Rhinolophus ferrumequinum: one gene and its partners. The protein of the gene in region 1 interacts with the protein of each later gene in a pairwise test. Links are inferred from orthologs where the notes say so. Each region holds a gene or a part of one and is shown in the gene's direction. Other genes may lie near its edges. The genes, in order: GLP1R, SLC15A4 and CD81.

The links.
Region 2: the proteins of GLP1R (region 1) and SLC15A4 interact in a protein complementation assay, tested with the Homo sapiens proteins (2 studies listed by BioGRID). The link is inferred for Rhinolophus ferrumequinum from reciprocal best matches to the Homo sapiens genes GLP1R and SLC15A4.
Region 3: the proteins of GLP1R (region 1) and CD81 interact in a protein complementation assay, tested with the Homo sapiens proteins (2 studies listed by BioGRID). The link is inferred for Rhinolophus ferrumequinum from reciprocal best matches to the Homo sapiens genes GLP1R and CD81.

What each region holds. Positions count from the first base shown.
Region 1 is NC_046286.1:8,927,645-8,935,615, forward strand, and holds the start of GLP1R (glucagon-like peptide 1 receptor), read left to right. Parts: upstream 1-4,963; 5' UTR 4,964-5,017; coding exon 5,018-5,095; intron 5,096-7,971.
Region 2 is NC_046308.1:2,063,130-2,070,320, forward strand, and holds the start of SLC15A4 (solute carrier family 15 member 4), read left to right. Parts: upstream 1-4,094; coding exon 4,095-4,628; intron 4,629-7,191. UniProt on the Homo sapiens protein: Proton-coupled amino-acid transporter that mediates the transmembrane transport of L-histidine and some di- and tripeptides from inside the lysosome to the cytosol, and plays a key role in innate immune response.
Region 3 is NC_046294.1:1,566,050-1,573,640, forward strand, and holds the start of CD81 (CD81 antigen), read left to right. Parts: upstream 1-4,501; 5' UTR 4,502-4,696; coding exon 4,697-4,762; intron 4,763-7,591. UniProt on the Homo sapiens protein: Structural component of specialized membrane microdomains known as tetraspanin-enriched microdomains (TERMs), which act as platforms for receptor clustering and signaling.

The sequences.
Region 1 (7,971 bases):
GTGGAGGGGCCTGATAAGTGGTAGCTATTGTTTTTATTCATGGTTATTGTTACTTTAGGAAATGGTATTGCGTCCATTCAAATCTCTGTTCTTACAGAGCTTCTTGCCCTCTCTTCTAGGGCCACTTGTCTTAGTCCATTTGGGCTACTACAACAAAATGCTATAGACTTGGTGGCTTATAAACAACAAACACGCATTTCTTATAGTTCTGGAGTCTGGAAGTCCAAGATCATAACACCAGCAGATTTGGTGTCTGGTGAGAGCCCACTTCCTGGTTCATTGATGGCCATGTTTCCTCTGTCCTCACATGGTGGAAGGGACGCAGGAGCTCTCTGGGGTCTCCTTTATAAGGGCACTAATCCCATTCACGAGGGCTCTGCTCTCATGACCTAATCACCTCCCAAAGGACCCACCTACTAATACCATCACATTGGGGGGTTAGGATTTCGACATATGAATTTGGGGACTGGGGGACACAAACATTCAGACTATAGCAGGGCCTGAGCGAGAGGCCCTGATAACCGTGTGGGGAGAGGAGAGGACCGTACTCCCCAGTATATAATCTGTTCTCTCTCCCAGCACATCCTCCTTTTGATAAGTTTTTGAGCGCCTACTATGTGCCAGACACTTCAGTGGATATTTGGATTGACACATTTCCATGAGGGCAAACATCACTGAGCACCTGCTATGGGCCAGGGCCTGTGCCGACACTGGATATCCAGCGACGAAGATGGAAACATCCTTCCCTCAAGGAGCCCACAATCTAATGAGGGAAAGTCATAACGAGATAGTGACAGAACACAGTAAGAACTTCAATTTATTCCATCTGTTGTTTTGAACAAGAGTCATTGAACACCTAGTATGTATGTGCCAAGCATGGCACTAGGTACTGTGGGTATAGAGGTGAGTAAAACAAGATCCCTACTCAGGGAAACCGAGGAATTAACCAGCATTCAAGAGGGTTCCAAAGTGTCCAGATGGCGGTAAGCACAAGGGACCAGGGCCCTGCAAAATTGGGGTGGGGTGCAATCATGGAAAACTTCCAGGTGGGGGTGACCCCTCCACGGAGGCTCTGAGGGTGGGTAGGATTCGGGGTACCCTGAGGGAGAACCATGTTTCGGGGAGACTTCCAGGGCTGTCACTGCTGACTAAAGCATCTGTGCTGCCCAAAGGGGCACTGAGAAGCAGGGATAAGAGAAGTTTTCTTAGACAGGCAGCTGCCTGAGCTGGCTCCTAAAGCATGAGCAGGAGCTCAGGCAGGCAGGGTGGGTGAGGACACTTCAGACAGAAAGTACCACGTGTGCAAAGAGATGGGAGAATTACTTGCAAGAGGTCCAGTTGGGAGGTAAGTGGGGAGCAGATCTAAGGAGACTCCTTAGATGCTAAGGAGTTTGGAGGAATTTGGAGGATTAGGGAAACAATCGCTAGGCTCAGGGACAAGGTCAGATAAGGGTTGGAGAAAACGATCCTCTAGGAGACTGGATAAGGGGGGAGCGAGAGCAGCTGTTTGCAAAACAGAACCAGACCTTGGACCTACTCTGAAGCTTACTTACCTTACAAGTTGGGGGAATAATACTGACAAATGCCTGATACCCAAGCTCCCAGCAGCTGCAGGGCACATCCACGGAAGCACCAGTCATGGCAGGCGCCCGGTATCACCCGTCATACTGGAGACAGAACCAGGAAGTGTCTGTGAACACTGGGCACTTACGAGGCACCGACCTGTGCCAGTGCTGAAATACAGCATGCTGGCCCTCCTGGAGCCTCGGTTACAATCCACATTGGCACATATGAGATAAGGGGCAGCCTCAGAGCAAACTCAGAGGCTTTGGACCCCCAGGTGTTAAAAAGAGAAGTTAAATAATCTGCCACCCAACTGCCTCTGGGCTCAGGGGCCCGGCTCCCATCCCTGGATACTCTCATATGCCCACTGTCTTCAGCTGGGCTCTCCCAGAAACAGACCCTGAGATGAGGATTTCAGACGAGTAGTTTACTTTTATTTGGGAGGTGTCCTCAGGAAGCACTAGTCCCCTACTGTTAGAAAGTGAGACCGGCCAGGGAAGGAAGCCAACACTGGGTGCATTATGGGGCAGGTTAGCACTGCGGGAAGCTGAGGCTCCACCCCTCTGGGACCTCTGGGAGACTGTGGTACACACGTGAGTTGTCCAGTCCAAGTGGTGAGGAACTGGGGTATTTATCCATCGACTCATGTCCGTTCACGCTTGAGAACTGCTCCTAGGGGTGCCTGCCCTGCACTGGCTGAACACAAAAGTCTCCTCCCAGTCACAGAAAGCCCCTGCCCTGCAGAGAGAAAGTGGTCTTTTAAGTGCGGAGGGCACGACTTGTACAGCATCTGCTTATCCCAGCAGTGCTAATTCTGAGTGTAATTGTAATCTAAATGGCTCCAAAAAACACTTATTTAATGTCTTTCTCCTGCATTAGAAAGGAATCTCCCTGAAGATAGATGCTGTGGCACCACGTAGCACCACTCTACCCCTGAGGGCTTAGTTCAGTGTCTGGCACATGGCAGGTATTCCATAGATACGTGCTTATGGATTAAATGTAATTTGGAGGTTGATAAGTTCATAGTAAAGGCAGAGTTCTGTGTACTTTCTCTAGCCCCTTAGCTTCCGCTCTTCTCTCCTCTCCCCATACCCTAACCCTGGTATCAGAGAGCCTGCAAGTTGTTTCCCAACATCTATCTATCTATCTATCTATCTATCTATCTATCTATCTATCTATCTATCTATCTATCTATCTATTATCATCTATCTATAATCTATCTATCAATCCATCTATCTATCTAGATATATACACTTGACCCTTGAACACACAGGTTTGAACTACACAGGTCAAACCTGTGTAGTTTATACACAGAATTTTTTCAATAAATATACAGTCGACCCTACATATCTCCAGGTTTCGAATTTGCAGATTCAACCAACAGCAGACCAAAGACAGTATTTTTCTTTCTTTCTTTCTTTATCTTGTTCCTTTGTTCCTTTCAGTTTTATACCCCACATATCAGTGAAATCATATGGTTCTCAACTTTTCTCATCTGACTATTACAGAATTGTACACTTGAAACCTGTGTAACTTTACTAACCATTGTCACCCCGATAAATTTTAATTTAAAAAAAAGAAAAAGAAAACAGTATTTTTCTATCCTCGGTTGCGAATCCACAGATGCGGAGGGCCAACTATACCCATTGGTCTATCTATATCAGTTTATAGAAGACACTTGAGCATGCATGGATTTTAGTAACTGTGGCAGGTCCTGGAACCAATCCCCTGTGGATACCGAGGGATGACTGGAGTTAAGTGTTTGGTGAGTCAAAAGTTATTTATACGTGGATTTGCAACAGCGTGGGTCAGTACCCCTAACCCCAGCGTTGTTCGAGGCTCAGCCGCGTTAGCCTTCCTCTAGAGTAATAAAAGCCCTAATAAACTTTGCCAGAGACCGCTTAGAATAAAAGTCACGTTCCCCAGCCTCCTTTGGAGCTAAGAGTACCATGTATCTAGTTCTGCCCGGTGGGCGAAACTGACAACTGCATTTTCCAGGATGTGCCTTATGGGTGGAGGTACACCCATGTTCGCCCCTTTCCTCCTTGCTGGCTGGAATGTGGACATCATGGTCAGAGCTGGCGCAGCCACCATGGATCATCACGTGGAAGGGAGCCTTGCACCATGAGAATGGTGGAAGCTACAAGAGCCTGGGACCCTGGGGATCAGGCAGCCACTGCTCCAACCTGAGCTGAACCTCTGGCCTAGCTGTACATGACACAGCCCTTGGTTATGCCATTGTTGTTTGGGCTTTTCTGTCAGGTGCAGATGAACAAACTAATCCTAAATGACACACAGAGGTGACTGTCAAACTGACTTCTGGGAAGAGGAGGGAATAAATGACTCCAGGGTCGTGGAGACAGAGCTGGCTGGGGAGGAAGACCCCTCTTGCTGAACGGGAGTCCCTGGCTCATGCCACGAGCTGTCTCCCACCTCTTCTCCTTCCCAGCCCCTTCTCCCTGACAGCGCCAGCCTCCTCTGGGCTTTGAAAAGTTCTGTTCTTTCCGAGGAACAGCTACTCCAACAGATTCCCTCTCCCTTTGGAATGCTCCAGACATGCCCCATGGCAGGTCCAGGGCTGAGGGCTGCTGCCGCCCCTGTTCCCCACAGTGACATCAAAGTTCTTTGTGGGGTGTGGAAGGTAATCCCTCTTTCCCAACCCCAGTCCTCACAGGCACTACTAGGTAACAAAGTCAGTGCCTCCTTATCTTCTTAGCACGCTCTCCCACAGCCTGCTGCGTTTGGGGGTGGGGGTGGACACAAAAGCAGGTAAAATAGGAGGAGACAAAGACACAGGAGTCACAGGGAAGTCATGGGCACATGTTATCGCACCGACACAGGATTCTCAGAGCCCAGTGATTCAGAGCAGGGGCCGTGGGGGCTGCAGAAGTGGGAGAAGCACTCCCCACCATCAGGGCTCCATCCATCCATTTGTTGTCTCCCCTCTCCTTCCCCAACCTTGGTTGTCCCAGGGCTGCCTGCGGGACAGAGCTCGGGAATAAAGAGAGGTCTTGGAAAACGGTTAAGTACCCAGCTAGTCTTTCTAGTCACTCGCAGTTCTTAGCGTGACACTTTCTGGGAAGGGTCTGAGGGACGGTGTGACCTTGGACCAGTCCCTTGGCCTCCTCCAGCTTAAGTTTCCTTGGGCGTACCCTGAGTACGTGTGGGGCGGTTTGGCTTTCCTTAGCTGGAGGCACCTGGGAGGCAGTGCGGGGGTGGGGGGCGCAGGGCCGGGCAGCAGCCGGCCGGGACAGGCTGAGCAGCGCCACGGGGACGGCAGGGAGGCTTTCGCGGGCCGGGGCTGAAGGCCGGGGACCCCGCCTGGCCCCTCCCGCGGGCGGGGCGGCCCCGCGCCGGCTCCTCCCCCGCGCCCGCCGCTGGCCGCCCGCCCGGGATTAGTCGTCGCGCGCGGTTCCGCAGGTGGCAGCGATGGTTCAGTCCTGAGCGCCCCGCCATGGCCGGCGCCCCCGGGCCGCTCCGCCTGGCGCTGCTGCTGCTCGGGGCGGTGGGCAGGGCCGGCCCCCGCCCTCAGGTGAGGCCGTGGAGCCCGGGGAAGGGGGGAGGCGGGAGCGCAGCGGGCGGCGGGTCCGGGCTGGGGCGGCGGGACTTGAGCGAAACTCCGCGACCGCAGGCAGACGGACCCCAAGCTTCGAGGGGAGTAGGGACTGGGGAGTTGGCGTTCTGGGCTGGGTGACCGAGGTGGCTTGGCCGGCGGGCGGCTCTCCCATCCCGGGCGCGGCACCCTCTTCCTGTGACCGGGGCCCCCCTGCCAGGGCGCCAGCTGCCCCGCGGCCGCCTGGAGCTGACTTCTGTGCCGCGGCTCCCCAGACACTTTCCCAACTCCTTCTCCTCGGAAACCCGTGCCGGCCGCCCTGCCCCGGCCCAGGCTCGCCCCCTTCCTGACCTCAACGTCTCCCACTGCGCCTTGACCCTGCCCCGCAGTGCCTCCCCGCAGCCTGCCCGCTCGCTGGTCAAAGACCCTGAGACGGCTCTGGGGGACAGAGAGAGCCGGGGGTGGACACCCAGCTCCATTACCCACTCACCAGCCCCCCGGCACAGCCTTTAACTCATAGCCCCAGGGACCCTGCGGTGGCAGCTTGTTGTCCTTCCTTGTGACCTCCCAGATGGAACTCGAGTGCCACCCCACCCCACCCCCCAGCCCCTGCGGCAAACACGCCGCTGGAGGCTCCTGCTCCTCTGGAAGCAGCCAGGCCCCCCTCACACTGGCCTGAGCCCTCCTTCTGAGCCCCCCTGATGGACAACACACCAGAGCACGTACTGAGACACACAGACACCTTGGCCTTCTCCATGTCCCTGGAGAGCAGGCCACAGGGTGGACCCCAAAGCCCTTGTCCTTGGCCTTCACTGTCCTCCCTCCTCCAAGCTCCGGGGCTGGGGGCCATCCATGGTCAGCCTGCTTTTGGACAGGGAAGTTGTGCAAAGCTGCTGTGAGATGCTCGAGCAGAGAGGAGGCACAGGCTTGGGTGGCCTGCCTTGTGTCAGGGAACTGGCTTTTCCATTGCCTCCCATCCCTACCCTCAGACCTAAAACACCGAGAGCTTTGGGGAGTGGACCTATACAGGCTTTGAGATGTGTCCCAGCACAGGTGGGAGGCAGGGTGAGGGGCCATGGCCTTGGCAGAGGCTGACTCTGCCCCTTAAGAATCCAAATGTGGACGGATGTAACTCCCAGCTAAGGCGCCAGGCCATTTTCGGTCCCCAAATTCTTTTCCAGATTTCTTTCCTCTCCCTGTACCCCAGGACAGCCGCAGGAGACACCCTCCCTCCCATAGCACCTTCCCCCAACCCCTCAGCCAGGCTTTGGCTTCCCAGTGCACTTGGGATATTTCGGGAGCCAGGACTGCAGACCCATTACCTGCTTCTCTCTCACCTTTACTCCTCCTCTAGGCTGGGCTGGGCTGGGGGTCCCATCCTGTTCCAGGTCAAGTTTAAAAACCGGTTTGGATTAAGGGAAGAGGAGTGGTCCTGGGGGCTGCCTGTCTTCTCCTCTTTTACCCAGAGGAGTCGGGCTCCTTGAACCTGCCATGTCTTCTCATCCCCTCATTTCTCAGCCCTGGGCCAAGGGCAAAAGCCAAATATCCTGAGGTCATAACAGGTGGGGCGGAGGCGGAGCAGAGAAGGGCAGGATGAGCTGGTCTCTGAGCAGAGAGGAGGGAGCTTTGGGGCATGCTCTCCTCGGGGACCCTGCGCATCCCCAGGCATCCCCAGCCCCCGTGGAGATCTGAGCGACGCGGCCTTGGAGGTTAGACTGCAATAATTATGACACAACCTCATGCCCGTGTGTAAGACTCTGAAAATGGCAAATCTCACATTCTATTTTCTGTTCATGAGATTGGTAAGACTCCCCTCCCCCTTGCGTGTCACTGATGGGGGGACAAAAGCTCAGAAAAGAAGGATTTTCTGTGTAAAGTGACCCAGCGGTTTCGAGAGGAACAAGGGGTGCAGGGCTGGGCTGGTGCCTAATTCCAGCCTACCCCAGCGGGACTGAAGGAAGAGCACAGAGTGAGCTGTCCTCTGTCAGGTCTGGCCAGGCTGGAAGCAGCTTCCTGCAGGCAGGGCGATGGCTGATTGAGCTCCAAAGAAGCAGACCTGGGCCACTTTCTTGCTGCTGGAAAGGACCAGCCACCCTCTACCCCCATTCCTTCTCCCAGACCCCTTTGACGGAGCTGTTCTACTGAGGAGACAGGCAGGCCTTTGACACCCAAAATTAGAACGAGACAAACCTGAATTCAACTATCGGGTCTGTTGTTAGCTGGACGCTTGACCGTCCAAACCGCAGTTTTGTCATCCAGAAATAGGTGTCACCAGCTCGACCGTACAGGGCTATGGAGAGGACTGAGACACTGGCGCCCTGAGACAGCAGCTTCAGTCGCTTGGGGGAACTGACTTGTTTGTCCTGAGGAATCTGAAAGCCTTCTCCAGGACAGCAGAGTAGGGCTGTGGGGACTGGCCTCTGCACTCCAGTGAAGGGTGGAGGGAGTCCAGGATGCACAGTGGTCAGTGAGGACAGGGACTGCCGGTGGGTGCAGGGGCAGGAGCAAGCAGGACGTCACACCCTGCTCTCCAGTGCGTTAGCTGTGGCCTGCCTCTAGGCAGATTTCCGTGTGTGTGTGTGTTAGAGAGATACAGAGATACAGTAACAGACAGGTAGAGAGAGATAGAAAGAGAGAGACCAAGGGGTGAGGGGTGTGGGCTCTATGAGCCTGTTTCTCTGTGTAGTTGTATGTAATCCTGTGTGTGGCAGTCTGCCTGTGTGTGTCACTGTGTGTGAAACATCTCGGCATATAATTGTCTGTGACAGTGTATGTGTGTTTATGACCCTATGTATGACGCTGTACCTATGGGAAGGTCTGTGTGTGTGTGAGAGAGAGAAACAGTGTGTGACTGG
Region 2 (7,191 bases), on another chromosome or scaffold:
TTAGCTGCACAGGAGAGACTCACACAGTTGTTTTCAGGACAAGTATACCCAACAACGTGGGGAGAGGCCACTTCCACCAAGTCTTTAGCTATACAATCACTGGGGCTTAGTACAAGGGCTGACAACCCCCGATCACAGGGGGCCAGGCAGAGAACTCTAAGAGCAAATTGGGCCGGGTCCGAGAAAACAAAAATCAGGTTGCCCTCCCTTGCTCTACCTTTAATGTTCCCACTTCCTGATCGAATCACAGTAAGTGGCTTTGGCTACAGGTAACAGAAAATCCAACACAGTAGCTTAAACAATGTAAGATTTGTTATCTTTTATTATCTGACTTTTCCTTGATTCTCAACTGTGCTACCCACAAAGCTGGCTTCATCCTAAACCTGTTCTTCTCAGGGTTGTGAGATAGCTGCCGGCAGCAATTGGGGCCACGGAATTCCTACTTCACGCCCAGTTTGGAAAAGTGTGTCTGTCTCGCAGTCATGGAATAAGGGTTCTTTCCTTCAGCCTTGCTGGGCCAATTTATGTCACCTGTCTTCTCCTGGGCCCTAAGAGATTTTCATATCCCCGGTGGCTAGCATCTGGGTTCCTGAAGAGCAGGAGAGACCAGCATTGGTTTCAACTAGCCAGATCCAGAAACAATGAAGTTAGTTTCTTCCAGGCTAGATGGGTAGCTGGTGGGGAGCGGAATGGGATGGGGACAAGTAAACACCTGAGTGGAATCAGGATTCTGTTTGGAAGGACAAAGAGGGTGTGCGTGTCGGACAAGTGAGTGATCGGGCCCTTTCACGTGGGCGCGGAGCAGCGGTGTCAGACAGGTCTTTCTGCAGGGGTAGAGTGATGGCCAACATGGGCGTCGCTTGTCACGTGTGGCTACTGAGCACTAGAAATGTGGCTGGTGAGACTGAGGGAAAGCAGTTTCATTTTATGGAATTGGAACTAATCTAAGTTCAAACACTGCACTGGACAGTGCAGACACAGAGGATAATTTCTCTACCGTGAGAAAAACAAAACAACAGAGAGGGGAGGATTTCAGTAAGCTAGAAAGTGCATGCCTCATTAAAGACAGTGGCTATTACCGGCCGTCAGCAGACAACGGCTGTGAGGGAAGTCAGCTGTGTTTCCACTATCTGATGCCGGGTACAAACCTCCCCAGTACTTACTAGTTTATAATAACAACTATCTTGTTTGTTCAGTTCTGCTATCGGGGTTGAGGCTCGGCAGAGCAGTTTTTCTTTTGGTCTTGCTGGTCATGATTTGTGTGGCTTCATTCAGCTGGCAGGTGGCCTGGGGTGCTGGGGCAATGGGATCCCCCCACTCTACCAGGTCACTGCTGCCTGTCCCTCATCATGTGACCTCTCCAGCAAGGTAGCTGGACTTCTTACATGGCATTCTGGACTCTTATAGGCACAGAAGTGAGAGCTGCCAGACCTTCTTAAGGTTTAGGCCCAGACCTGGCCCAGGGATACTTCTGCAGGGTCTCTTTGCCAAGCAGGTCATAGGCCCAGCCTTGTAAGACTGTGACCTGTGCAGAATATATAAGAACAAACACGAGAGGCGTGGTTCGAGCAGGGATAGGGTGCTGTCACTAGAGTAACAGGTGACCACAAGTCCCAAAGTTGCCAGAGTTCTCAGGTTTTTACTAGCAGCAGGGCATCCAAATTTGTATGTGAAACCTTCCAATTTTTAACTGTTACCTCACATTTTTGGGGGCAACAGCTTTATTGAGACATAATTCACACGCCATATAGTTCAATCCATCTAGTGTTCAATTTGATGATTTTTAGTACATTCACCGAGTTGTGCAACTATCAGCACAATTAATTTTAGAATATTTCCATCACCACAAAAAGGAACCACGGACCCTTTAGCAGCCATTCCCCAATCTTCCCATCCCCCCGCACCTGGCAATCACACCGCCATCTGCACTCTGTCGGTACAGGTTTGCCGATTCTGGACAGTTCATAGAAATGGAATCTTGCAGTACGTGGTCTTGGCTTTTTTTTTTTTTTTTTTTTTTTTAACACTGCAGCCAAACCAAAACATTTCTGCCTGCTGGATTTGTTTTGCAATCTCAAGGCATGAGAGATGGCAGTGCCCAAGACCCCTCCCACGGGTCAGAAACAAGCAGTCCGAATTCCTCAGTGTCAACCTGAACTCTGTAACTGCCTCCCTCCCCCCTTTTCTCTCAGCTTTATGCTTCTTCACTGAAACAATCCAATTGAGGTGGTTTGCTGTCCTCCAAAATGGCACATCTATAACGGGCAAAGGTTCAACACCACGCCATCGCACGAGCCACGCCAAACGGCTTTTCATCCCACGTCTAATGTTCATGTTATTCTGGACTCTGCCTGAGTGTCAGTCCTGTCCGTCTTGGGTCAAACACTCAGAGGTCCTGCCTCGTCTACTGGCTGAAGGGTGGAAGAAGCACTGGGCTAGGAATTACCTAGTTACAAGCCTTTTCTTTAAGCCTGATTCCAACGCCTCCTACTATGTGTGATCCTGCAGAGGGATCTTTAGGGGTTTGCTTTTCCCGTTAGTGAAATGAGGCTACAAATATACGCTGTAGACATCATGGGAATGTCAAAAAAAAAAAAAAAATCAGGTGACTAGAGAGGTTCTTTCAGCACCATTTACAATTCAACAAATATTCATTCATTTATGCAGTTAATTCCACACGTATTTATCATTGGTGGCTACTGCGCTCGATTCTAGGAATATAGTGAGGACAAAATAAACGAAGTCAGCCCTCCAGCTTGGAAGATAGCTGTCAGTTTCACAAAATAAGTAATTATAAATTATAATGGGTGCTGTGTAAAAAAAGAAGTATAGGGTGCTGTAATGACATACAAGGAGGGGATCTGATCTCATCGGGGACGATCGGGAAAGTGATACAGGCTGATAATTAAGCTGGCTAGCACTGCTGGATCGTGTGGGGAAGGTCCTGTTCTGGCTTCCTGGTGCTCTCATTAAATATTCACCTACGGCCTGCTGTGTGCCAGCACACCAGGCATTAGTCTAGGTGTCAGACATTTAGGAAGGTAAAAATGTTAATACTTGCTACTTAAGTGTCTTCAGAAGGACCACCTACCCTGATGACCCACTGGCAAGCCGCCTTCCCAGGTGATGGCTCCTTCCTTTTCTTCGCTGGAGTTAAGGATGGAGGAAGAGGAAACAATGTCACACTAGTTGAATCATTGCAGCCATGCTTCCCCATTTCTGAAGACATGCTGGGGGCCGGTTTTGGAGGACACTCTGTCCCACTCCATGGGCCAGGCACTGTTGTAGGTACCGGGGGCACGGTGAGGAACAAGAAACAGAAGAACGCTGCCACCATGGAGCTTGCACCATGGGGACCACGGACAAGCTGGGGAGACAAAAGAATAAACAATAAAACAGACAAATACGATGGGGAAACTAAAACAGGATGGGGGTGGGGTCGACTTTGCATGGGCTGGTCAAGAAACGCTTCTAAGAAATGACCCTGGAGTTGAGAACTGGAGGAAGACAGGATGCCAACCACGTGACAAGGAGCCGGGCTCTGAGCTTGGCTCATTCTAGGGCAGTGGTTTCTCAATGGGGGTGATTCTGCGGCCCAGGGGCCATTTGGAGGAATTTTCAGTTGTCACAGCTGGGGCACTGGGGTGGAACCGGCATCCAGTGGAGAGCAGAGGGGAGGGCGGCGACTAACCGTCCTCCTGTGCGCAGGGCGGCCCACACCCCAGACAAGCGCCTGCCGCAGTACGGGCGGCCGGGGGCCAGGCGGCGGGCGCGGGGCCCGCCCAGCCACGCAGGCGTCAGCCTCAGCGCGGGCCGGCTTTGCAGCGGCGGGGCTGGCACCTCGGGGCGCCCGGCAAACACTTGAAAGCCTCATGGACCGTGCCCGCGGGAACGCCTCGCCCCGCGGCCCCACCCACGGCGGAAGCGCGGCCGCCACCGGGGCGGGCTTCCCGGTGACCCCGGAAGTTCCCGCGGGGGCGCGCCCGCCCAATGGGGACGCTCGGGGGGCGGGCCGAGGCGGCGGCGGGCCGGTCTGGCGACGAGGGCGGCGGCCCGGGCCGGCAGAGCGGCGGCAGCGGCGGGCGGGCGGGCGCATGGAGGGCGCGGGCGGGCGCGCGGGGGAGCGGGCGCCGCTGCTGGGCGCGCGGCGGGCGGCGTTCGCGGGCCGGCGCGCGGCGTGCGCCGCGGTGCTGCTCACCGAGCTGCTGGAGCGCGCCGCCTTCTACGGCGTCACCGCCAACCTGGTGCTGTTCCTGAACGGCGCGCCGTTCGGCTGGGAGGGCGCGCAGGCCAGCCAGGCGCTGCTGCTCTTCATGGGCCTCACCTACCTGGTGTCGCCGTTCGGCGGCTGGCTGGCCGACGCGCTGCTCGGCCGCGCGCGCGCCATCCTGCTCAGCCTGGCGCTCTACCTGCTCGGCATGCTGGCCTTCCCGCTGCTGGCCGCGCCCGCCACGCGCGCCGCGCTCTGCGGGGCCCCGCACCCCACGCGCCTCCGCAACTGCTCGGCGCCGCCCTGCGCCGACGCGCCCACCCGCTACTGCGCGCCCGCCACGCTGAGTGCGCTGGCGATCGTGGGCCTGGGCGTGGGCGCGGTCAAGGCCAACATCACGCCCTTCGGCGCCGACCAGGTGAGCGCGCGGGGTGCGGGACGCGGACGTCCACAGGCTCCGAGGACCCGTTGGGATAAGCCCTGGGGAGGGGGCCGTGGGGACGGGGCATACGGATAGATGGCTGCCAATAGAGGCACCTCCTTTTTGCAAAGGAGCCATTTGAGGGGTCACCTGGACAGTAGTATCAAGGGAGCTTCCCAGACAAGGCGGCTGGGCCCGGGAAGAGAGGAAATCCTTGGTGGTGGTGTGGCTACGGTAGCAGTGGTGTTGCGATCCAGAAATGTATCAAATCAACATTTGTCCGCCTTAAACTTACACGAGGTCAGACGCTGTGTTTTTTAAAGTGGGAAGAGAGGTGGTAGGCAGGGGCCAGGTCCTGGGAGGCTTGATAAAGAGTTGGACGTCTGCTTTGCATACAGTACGGAGCCTTTGTGGATTTTCAGCAGGGGAGTAATATGATCTGATTTATGTTTGTAAAAGATTCAACTGCTGTTGCCCAAGGCGTGGCAGCTGTGGCCTGCCAGGCAAATCTGGGCTACTTCCTGTTTTTGGAGCTAAGAATAGGAATGCGTCTTGGGTTTTTAAATGGAAGGAGAAAAACAAGAATGTTTTGTGACAAGTGAAAACTCTATGAAATTCAAATTTCGGTCTCCACAAAGAAAATTTTATTGAAACAGAGGGTGCCCCACTCGTTTCTGTTTGCTTCTCGGCAGCGCAATGGCTGTTTTCACAGTAGAGGAGCAGAATGGAGTAGTTGGGACAGAGACTGAACGTCTCTCAAAACCTAAAATATGTAGGCCCTGCTGGTCAGACGACGAGCACGGACGTACGGTGGAGAACCTAGGTTGAATGGGAAGTGGTGGCAGCAGGACGCCAGGTAGGAGTGTGTTACATTTGCCAGATGAAAGAGAGTGGGGCCGTGGGCGTGGATCGATGTGTGTGGATTTGGGATGAGTTATGGAGGTCGAGTGAGCGAGAGGAAAGACAACTCCTAGGTTTTCTGTTAAGTAGCCATGTAGTTGCGTACATTCACTGCGGGCTTTCTGTGTGCTAAGTACTTTATTAGTCCACACGACGCCACTGCTCGTACTGTGCCTATTTTACAGATGAGGAAATGGAGCTTTGAGATGTGAAGTCATTTGCTCCAAGCTACACAGCTAGTGCATGACTGGGCCAGCATTGGAGAGCCTGGTCTTTGGGATCTGAGCTTTACCAATACCTGTATAAGGCTATCCAGCACAGTAAGGCGACACCTTGTAGTGACGTTGGAAGTAATAGTTGCCTGGTGTACCGAGTTCTTCATTCCCTGCACCATGGAATGTGCTTTACACACTTGATCTCATTTGAACCTCACATGGATCTTCTTACACCCATTCTTCAGACCAGGAACCAGGCACGAAGCAGGGATTGGTCATTGCTGTTGTCCTGTGGGCAGTGAGTGATCAAGCCAGGGGTTTAGTCCAGGTCCGATTTCTTAGTCCACACTTTAGCCATTGCACCAAGATAAGCGGGACATGTGTGTTCTGTGAGGGAGCAAAAGAAAGGCGGGGGGCCGGGTGTCAAGGCCGGGGCGTGTGGCTTTGGCCTTGAGGTGCCATCAGCTCACAGACCACAGCAGAGGCCACCTGCTGGGAGCACAGTTGTCCATCTTTAATGGCCAGGCCACAGGGTTGAAGGGTGACATGAGTCTTAGGCCCTTTCCTGCTCTGAGTGCTCCTCCTACATGGTCCTACTAAGCCCCCAACAATTTATATGCTACAGTTGTTCTGTCTTATAGGCAACGGGCTTCGAGGGTTTCACCCACCCAGGGCACACAGCTGGTGAGTGGGGTGGCTGGGTTTGGACCCAGGCGTGATGACTTAAAAGGTCGTGTTCTCCGGGAGATGACAGATGCGAAATGAATGTAATTGCTTAAAGAACAAATGGTCTTATAGGGGTTCTCTACAACACGTGACAGAATATGCCCTCTTTTGAGGCGTCGTTAAATGTGGACATTAAAAAGAAATGTGTTCTCTTCTACAAGATAAGTGGCCTAATCTCTCCACGTCTGACACTCGGGGAAACCAGGAGCACGGCAGACGCGGCAGTGTTAGAGGCCGGGCAGCCAGAAGCAGCGCGTGCTCGTGAGGAGGTCCCACAGGTTTTTTAAGGCATTTGTTTCAGACAGTTGGGATAAGTGAATATTGACAACATATTAGACACACTTGTGTTGATGTGAAGTTTCTCAGGTGTCATAATGGCATTGTGGTCGTGTAGAAGGATGGCCTTGTTTTTAGGGGATTCATGACGAAATCTCCGGGGTGAAATATGATGCTGCAACTTATTTTTAAAAAGTTCAGCCTAAAAAAGTATTTCAAAGATACAGACGAAGAACTAAGGATGTGAGTGAGTGATACGGGGGTGTATTTCTTAATTATTCTTTCAACTTTTCTATCAGTTTAAAGTTTTTTTTAGTGAAAATTAAGGAGATGTCCAGCAGCTGATCCACGGATAAAGCAAAAGTGGGCCATCTACACAGTGGAATATTATGCAATAAACAGGAACAAAGTGCTGACTCTCAATATAACGTGGAGGAACCTCG
Region 3 (7,591 bases), on another chromosome or scaffold:
ACAAGGCAAGGGCTGTAAGTTCCAGTGCCAGAAGGAAGGCTGGTTCCCAAGTTAGAACGGTAAAGGCGCTTTCAAACTTGATGTCATCCCGCAGGTGGAAGTGTCTGGGTGTAGATGGAGGGGGGGAGGAGTAGCAGCTGAGGGGAAGGGATGACTGAGCCGGTTATGTCATGTAATGAGGGGGGCCCGAGGCGGCATTCACGCCTCGAACGAGGCTCAGGGCCAGAGAAGAGACTGTCTCGTAGGCGTAGCTCCATTATATGGACCGATGCCTGATGGGGACGACACGGAATGGAGGGTCCCGGACGGTGAGGATCGATTTCCGGGCTCTCGATTCTATGCATTTGGTTTCCACATGGTTCTGATCACCGTAGCTTTGCAGGAAGTTTGAACCGGGAAGTGTGAACCCAACAAATTTATTCTCCTTTTTCACGACTGTTTTGGGTGTCCCGGGGCCCTTGTAATCGTATAGTACTTAGGGTGAGCCTGGTAAAGCCAATGGGGACTGTCATAGGGGTTGTGTGGAGCCGTCGGTCAATTTGGGGAGCACTGGTATTGTGGCAAGACTGAGTCTTCTGATCTGTGAACCCCAGGAACCTTTGCATTGACTTAGACCTGCCTTCGGTCCTTTGACAATGTTTTGTAGTTCCCAGTGTCCAAGTCTTATAATAAATTGGCTGAATTTATTCCCAGATACTTTGTTCTGTTTGCTGCTATTTATTACAAATGGGATTGTCTTCTTTATTCCATGTGTGGACTGTCCATTGCTCGTGTATAGATATAAAATTGATTTTCGTACCTTGATCCTGTCACCTGCCAATTGCTGCAGGTGTCTATTAGTTTCAGTAGGTTTTGGGTGTATTTCTTCGCGGTTTCTATGCACTATGTCACGTCCTCTGCTTCCCTGTCCAGTACAGATGCCTTTTTCTGTCTTCATCTTGCCTACGTGCCCTGGCCACAGCCTCCAGCGACGGAGAGTGGCTGTCCTCGTCTTGTTCCTCCCCTTAGGGGAAATGCTTCCAGTCTTGCACTTGGTAATGCTATCAGCCAGCGGCGTTTTTGAAGGTGCCCTTTATGAGACGTTCAAGGAACCCTTCCATTCCTGAGGTGTCGAGTGTTTTCATCAGGATAGAGTGCTGGGTTTGGTCAAATGCTTTTCCTGCAACTGTGGAGATGATCCTGTCCTTGACTCCATCAATGTGGTGCGGTGCATGGATTGTTTTTCGGATGGTAAAGTCTTCCTTTTGTAAGTAGGAAGCTGTTCCCCTCAGGGCCTGCCTTTGAGTCTCAGCCAAGTGCAGTGAGGGTGGCTGAATCCCCTTTGCAGCATTCTCTGCATAAACAGCCTCTGTTCCATTCATCTGGGTGGTCTCGGTTTACTTCCACAGGAAATCAAGGCACAGGGCGGGGTTCAGTGATTCCCCCTGAACAGAAAGCATGTCCCAGAAGAGCAGTGAGTCACCCGTCCTTGGAGTTGGGCTTGGCAGTGAAGTCTGTCTGCCCAACAAGCTTAAAGGAGGCAGTGGCCTCCAGCATGCTGCTCCTCTCACCGCCTCACATTCCATGGCACCACTGCATATGGGGAAACTGAGGAACCAGCCAGAAGTCACACGGAGGGAAAGAGACTCGGAGCTGAACACACCGGGGCAGCAAGGCCCACTCTTTGCCCCGCCTGTCCTCAGGACCTCAGCCCCGCCCATGGGCTGGTGGGCGGGGCAGGCACAGGGAGGGGTCTCCCACGCCAGGCCTGGCGCAGGCAAGCCTCTCCCCTCTCTCCATCGTTCTCTGACGCAGCCCTTCTGGGTCTGTGTGTCTCAGAGCCTGGATGGAAGCTCCAGGCTGTGGGCCATCCAGCCCACAGTGGGGCTCTGGGGATCTTTCCCAGGACGCAGTCCCTGAGGCCCACCTGCCCCAGATCACACTGCCACACATGTCATTGCTACTGTGATGTTCAGTGTTGTGTGTTTGTTAACGTGACTGGCCACAGGGTGCCCAGATGGAATATTATTTCTGGGAATACCCGGGGGTGTCTCCAGGTAAGATTAGCATTTGAACAGGTGGACTCAGTGAGGCAGTGGCCCTCCCAATTGGAGGGCTTATCCAGCCCACTGAGGCCTGAGTAGAACCAAAGGCAGAGGAAGGGGGGACTCTCCCCTTTTTCCTGCCTCATCCCATGAGCTGGGACCTCTCCTCTCATCTCCAGCCTTCGGTCTGGGATTTACACCATCAGCTCCCTGCTCTTGACATCTGGACTGAAACTAAACGCCCCGCTGTCTTGGGTCTCCTTGCAGATGGCAGGTCCTGGGACCTCCCAGACTCCATAATCACACGAGCTGGTTTGTAATAATCTCCTTTATAATCTATAGTACATCACACACACACACACACACACACACACACCTCCTACTGATTCTGTTTCTCTGGAAAACCCCGGTTAATGCACTGGTCCCCTTCAGTCCTCACAAGGTCAGTTGGTGGCCCCTGGCACTTCAGAAGTGGTCCCTGCGGACAGCCCACAGGTACCAGCCCCTGGAGGTGGTCCCGACCCTCGAGGCCCATTTTCCCTGTGAATGCAGGTCCCACTGTGGGGCTAAGGCAGTCTGCTCCCACATATGTCCCCATTCAGGTCAGAAGTCATGCCTGTGGTGCCCCTGCAGAAACCCGCCAATGGCTCCCACGACAGTCAGGATTGAAGGAGACCTCACACTGGCCTTCAGGCCGGAGAGCCAGCCACCTCACCCTTGGCCCTGACCTCCTTGGGTGTGGCCCTCTTTCCCTCCTTCTGCTCCCGCCCTACTAGCATCCTTTCTGCTCCTCCTACCAGTCTCCCATCTGCCTGGAGGGCAGAGCTGGCTCTTTCCCACTCTCTAGGGCCAGGACTCATTGTGGATCCTCCAAACCCGCAAGGAGAGGAGTGCCCCGCCCCTGCCCTCCCCACCCCCCACTCCATGACTCTTTCAAGCCTCCTGGAAATTTCCTCCCTCCCCAGTCAACATGAGACATGATCATCGTGAGGCAGCATCTGTCACAGGCCAACAGTCCTTGAGGGAAGGGGTCCTGGCTGGTCAGCTCCCACAGTCAGTGCCTGGAATTGCAGCTGGCAGGTAACAGGCACCACTAAACATCTGCCACATGACTGAAGCAAAGCACAGACCAGGCTAGCCAGGTGTGACCTGCTCTGGGGAGGGCTGGCCAGCGACGCAGCGCAGTGGGCATGCTTCTGCCCTGCTCCCTGAGGGTGGGCTCAGTGTCCTCCTGCTCCCCCCACGGGGCCCAGGGAAGGCCGTTCTCTGAGGATTCACCCCACTTCTTTGGCAGTTGACCTGTAACTGGACAGCGGGGAGCTGTGGGGAGCGCAGGACCCCCAGGACATCAGGGCAGGCATTTCCTTACACCAACACTGTCCTGCCTCCTTTTCAACAAAAACAACCCTGGCAGACCCTCAAAGGAAGAAGACTTCAGTTACTTTTATTATGTCACTTGGACGTGCATAAACAACACTAGGTGTAAACGTGTGCTTGGAGCTCTCATACACGCGTGAAGCCAAAACAAAATTTAAAATTAACCACCAAGAACACGACAGCTGAGCACAGATGAATACGACAGGGCTCCTCTGTAATGTGGCCGCCTTTGCCTACCCGCGGCCATCCAAATTTACTACAATGAAAACCTCAGTTCTCGGCGGGGGCACTGGCCACGTTTCAAGTGGGCAGTAGTCATTTGTGGCAGTGGGCATTTCCATGGCTTCATCTGCTTGTCACTTTGCTGCAGACTTGCTCTGTCACCTGGGGAGAAAGCATCCCTCACTTGAGGAGTCACCTGTCTACCTCCTCATTACCCCGGGCAGTGAGGGCAGTGGGACCACCCTCACTTCAGGAAGACAGCAGCATCTGGGCGACCTGGCACCACTGACACATGCACGAAATACGTACAAGACATTTGGAGGTTCTCCTACAGGTGGCTTGGGCTTCCTAGACAGTTAGCAGTGGCCTAGGGTACACCTTTCGAAACAGATTCTTCTAAGAGTGGTCAGCGACTCCCCGGACCACGGGACAAAAGGGTTTGGATGCCTAGAATTGCATTCCAGGATCTTCAGGTCGAGGTCCGCTTACTCTCAGGCCTCATCGCCCACCCAGGTTCCCATTCCCGGGAGCGATGCGAATAAAGGGCGCTGCTATCTTGGCTTACGTAGCCTTTGCTGGCGCATCACCTCTTCCAGGAAGCCTTCTTGGGTAGGTACAAGGTGCCTGAAGAAGAATTGTGGGAGAAAGGGAGAGGTTCTTCCCTGGGCATCCTCGCCGCGGTCCTGTCGCTGCGCCCAGCACAACGCGTCTGGGTCTGGGGTCCTGGGGACACCAAGTCCTCTAAGTGTGCGTGCGAGGGGGAGGGGTTGCCTCCGGGGCCGCGGGGCCGGGGACGGAGCAGACGGGGGCGGAGCAAACGGGGGGGCGGTGTCTGGACGCCATATAAGTGGCGGAGCGGGGCGCGCGCCCGGACCGACAGCGAGCGCGCAGCGGCGGCTCCGGCCTCACGTATCCCAGTCCGGCCTCCCGCGCCACTCGTCCCCGCGCGCCCGCTGCCTCCGCGCCCGTCGGCCGCCGTCTCAGCCCCCGGCCGCTCACCAGGTCCCCAGGCCCCGCGCCCCTCTGCCCAGGACCGGCCCGCGCCACACAGGCCGCCCGCCGCCCGCGCCGCCATGGGGGTGGAGGGCTGCACCAAGTGCATCAAGTACCTGCTCTTCGTCTTCAATTTCGTCTTCTGGGTGAGCCCCGGCCGGGGGGGGCGGGGCGGGGGCGCCCCAGAGCAGAGCCGCGGGCCGCGCGCCCCGCTAGGCCCCGCCGAGGGGGCACGGCCGGGCCGCCAAGTTGTGGGGCCACCTGTGCGCGCTGGGCGCGGGGTTGGGGGTCTTGGGCCGGCAGGCCAGGGCAGTGGGGGTCGTCTGGGAGCGTCGCGACCCCTGACGGCGGGGCGGGGGGCTGCGAGCCGGGTTTGGGGGCCTGTGGGCGTCAGGGCCCGGGTCCCCGCGGCCGGGCCGGGGCGTTTGGGGGCCTCAGGTCTGTTCCCGCCTGGTGATGGTGATAGGTGGGGTAGATGCGGGCTCCGGGCCGCGTACTGGGGCTGCTCAGCCCCCTGGATGCTGTTCCTGGGACCACCCTGCCTCGCGGGGACTGGGGGGGGGGGGCTTGAGGGCGGGTCTCAGGGCGTCCCGCCCCCATGAGCTCATCCAGGCCACCGCCCCTGCATGGGCGGCCAGGTTGGGGGTGCACACGCCGTCCGAGTCTTGGGTACTGGCCACCCCACTATTGGCCCAGCCCAGCTCACCCCCCAGTCAGCTGTCGTCACCCTGGGACCGTTCTTGGGGTCTTGGACTGGGGTGAGCAGACAGGAAGCACACTGGGCCGGGTGTGGCCTGTGTGCTGGCGTGCCTGCACCGTGGTGGCCCCCGTGTGTGGGGCCAGATCCCCCTGCCCTTCTCACCCAGACCGAGATTCCAGCCAGGCCTGGCCCCCAAGGTGGTGGAGGCCTGGAGAGTGGGGATGGGGCAGTCCCTTCCAGTTGGCACAGGGCAGGGGCCTGAAGACCTGGGTGTCCCTGAGCTCTGGGGGCCAGGGGCTGGCCTGGGACTTCCACTGTGGAAAGAAGCACCCACAGGATAGTCCTTTTGGGATTTTCCTGACTTGGGTGTAAACTGCTGGTCAGTGACTGATGGAGTTTTGCTTTTGTTTCCATTTCCTGTCAGTGTTGGGACCGGAGAGGCGGTGGAAGGAGCCCCTCTCATGATGGCCGTGCCCTCCTCCCTGGGCAGTGACTGGGACCCCTCCCAGGCTCCTCCATGCTGCTGCCACGCCTGGCTGCTCACCCCGAGTATGTGGGGTGGGAACATATGCTTCCCATCTGGACAGCCAGGACCCAGAGCGGTTCTCGGGCAGCAAGGGATTTGGGGTCGAGAAGACAGAGACTGGACTGAACTCTAGCTGGGGGTAGAGTGCGGTGTCACATCGACCTAGGGGACCCCTGGAGGCCACTGGCCTCTGCCTTGGGGGTGGGCCAAGCCTGGCCCCAGGCAGCCACTAGGGCCTTTGAGGGGTGGTGTCGTCCTGGATTTAGTGTTTGCCGGCTTTGGCCAGGCAAACATAGGGGTCAATGGGGCACCCAGATGCCCCTCTGCTGAGCCTGGATATGGGGGCGAGGACCCTGGCAGGGCGGTAGAGGGTAGGCACAGGAAGGGGACTTCTCCAGGAGTAGATTCTTTGTCTTTGGGCCTGGTGTCTGGGCTGTAAGTCCCTCCCACCTGCCCAGCTGGGGAGGTCTGCAGATCAGGCCCCCTGGAGCTGGCAGCTGGGCCAGTCTGGTAGTTTCCCAAGCAGCTGGGGTGGAGGCTCCACACGTCCCTTGGGGCTGTTCTTTATTGAGACTTAGGGAAATGTTTCCGAGGCCTGTCCCCTCCCTCCCACTTCCAGCTGAGCACTGAGAACTGTGTCTGCACCGTAGGTCTCCATGGTCCAGTCACCGTGGCCCCACCCACCCATGCCGGTTCACCCCCTCTGGTGAGGGAATGCAGAGCTGAGCCTTGTGGGGCTGGGGGCACACCCTGCAGGAGCCCCTCTCTGCACCCCGCTCCATCACCAGGCTGAGCCTGGTGCAGTGGGGTTGGGCTTGGGCAAAGTTTCCCTCCCACTGCTCTGGTCCTAGCCCCCAGCTTCTTCCCCTCTAAAGTGGGGTCCTCCGAATCCTATCTCCTGGCGTTGCTGGTCGATTGGCTCACAGGTAGGGGCTGAACTCAGGAAATGGATGTTGGGCCAGGTGGCCAGCAGGAAGCCTGCTCAGCGTGGTCCCGGTGGAGGCAGTGCCTTGGGGAAGGGTTTCAGGCCCCTACGTGGGGCTCCCAGTGCCCAACCTGACTTGCTAGCTGGGCACCCCAGTCACAGTGCAGGAGTGGCTGCCAAGGGTGGGAGCCGGGAGAAGAGGGTGACAATGGGTATGTGGACCCAGAAACTTTGTAAAATTCCTTCTTGGGGAGTAAGTAGAAAGGCAAAGGCCCCAAGCACGTGGGAGCAGGCCTGAAGGTGGCCTGGCGTGCTTCTCCAGGAAGGAGCTGGGTCACCCTGCACACTTGCTCTCCTGCCCTGCCGGTGCTGAGACCCTGGGGCTCCCCAGCCAGCCAGGTATCAGGTTGGGAGCCGGAGCCAGGCAGCATGGGACCCCTGCCCATCGGGGTGGGACAGGGGGCTTCCTGGCAGAGGGGGCCGGTACGGTACTGGAGCAGATGAGGAAGGGCACAGGCTCAGATCCCTGCTCACCGCACTGGACTTGGTGACCTGGGGCAGGCGGCTGGCCTGCATGAGCCCTGCTGCCCTCACCTGGGAAATGGGCATGATAAGAACCCACTTCTGGGGGGCTGGCCAGGGAGCCACTGGTCCTTGCGGGGAGAGGAGCAGAGCGTTCCTTGCCTGGGACTGGCTGCCCGTCCGCCTAATGCAGTTGGTGGCTGCCTTCCAGAGGCAGGGTGGCCAGACCCGGCTGGGAACGAGGCTGATTAGAAGCATTGCTAACTGGCATTTAATTCTCACTTCCAGACAGCACATGACTG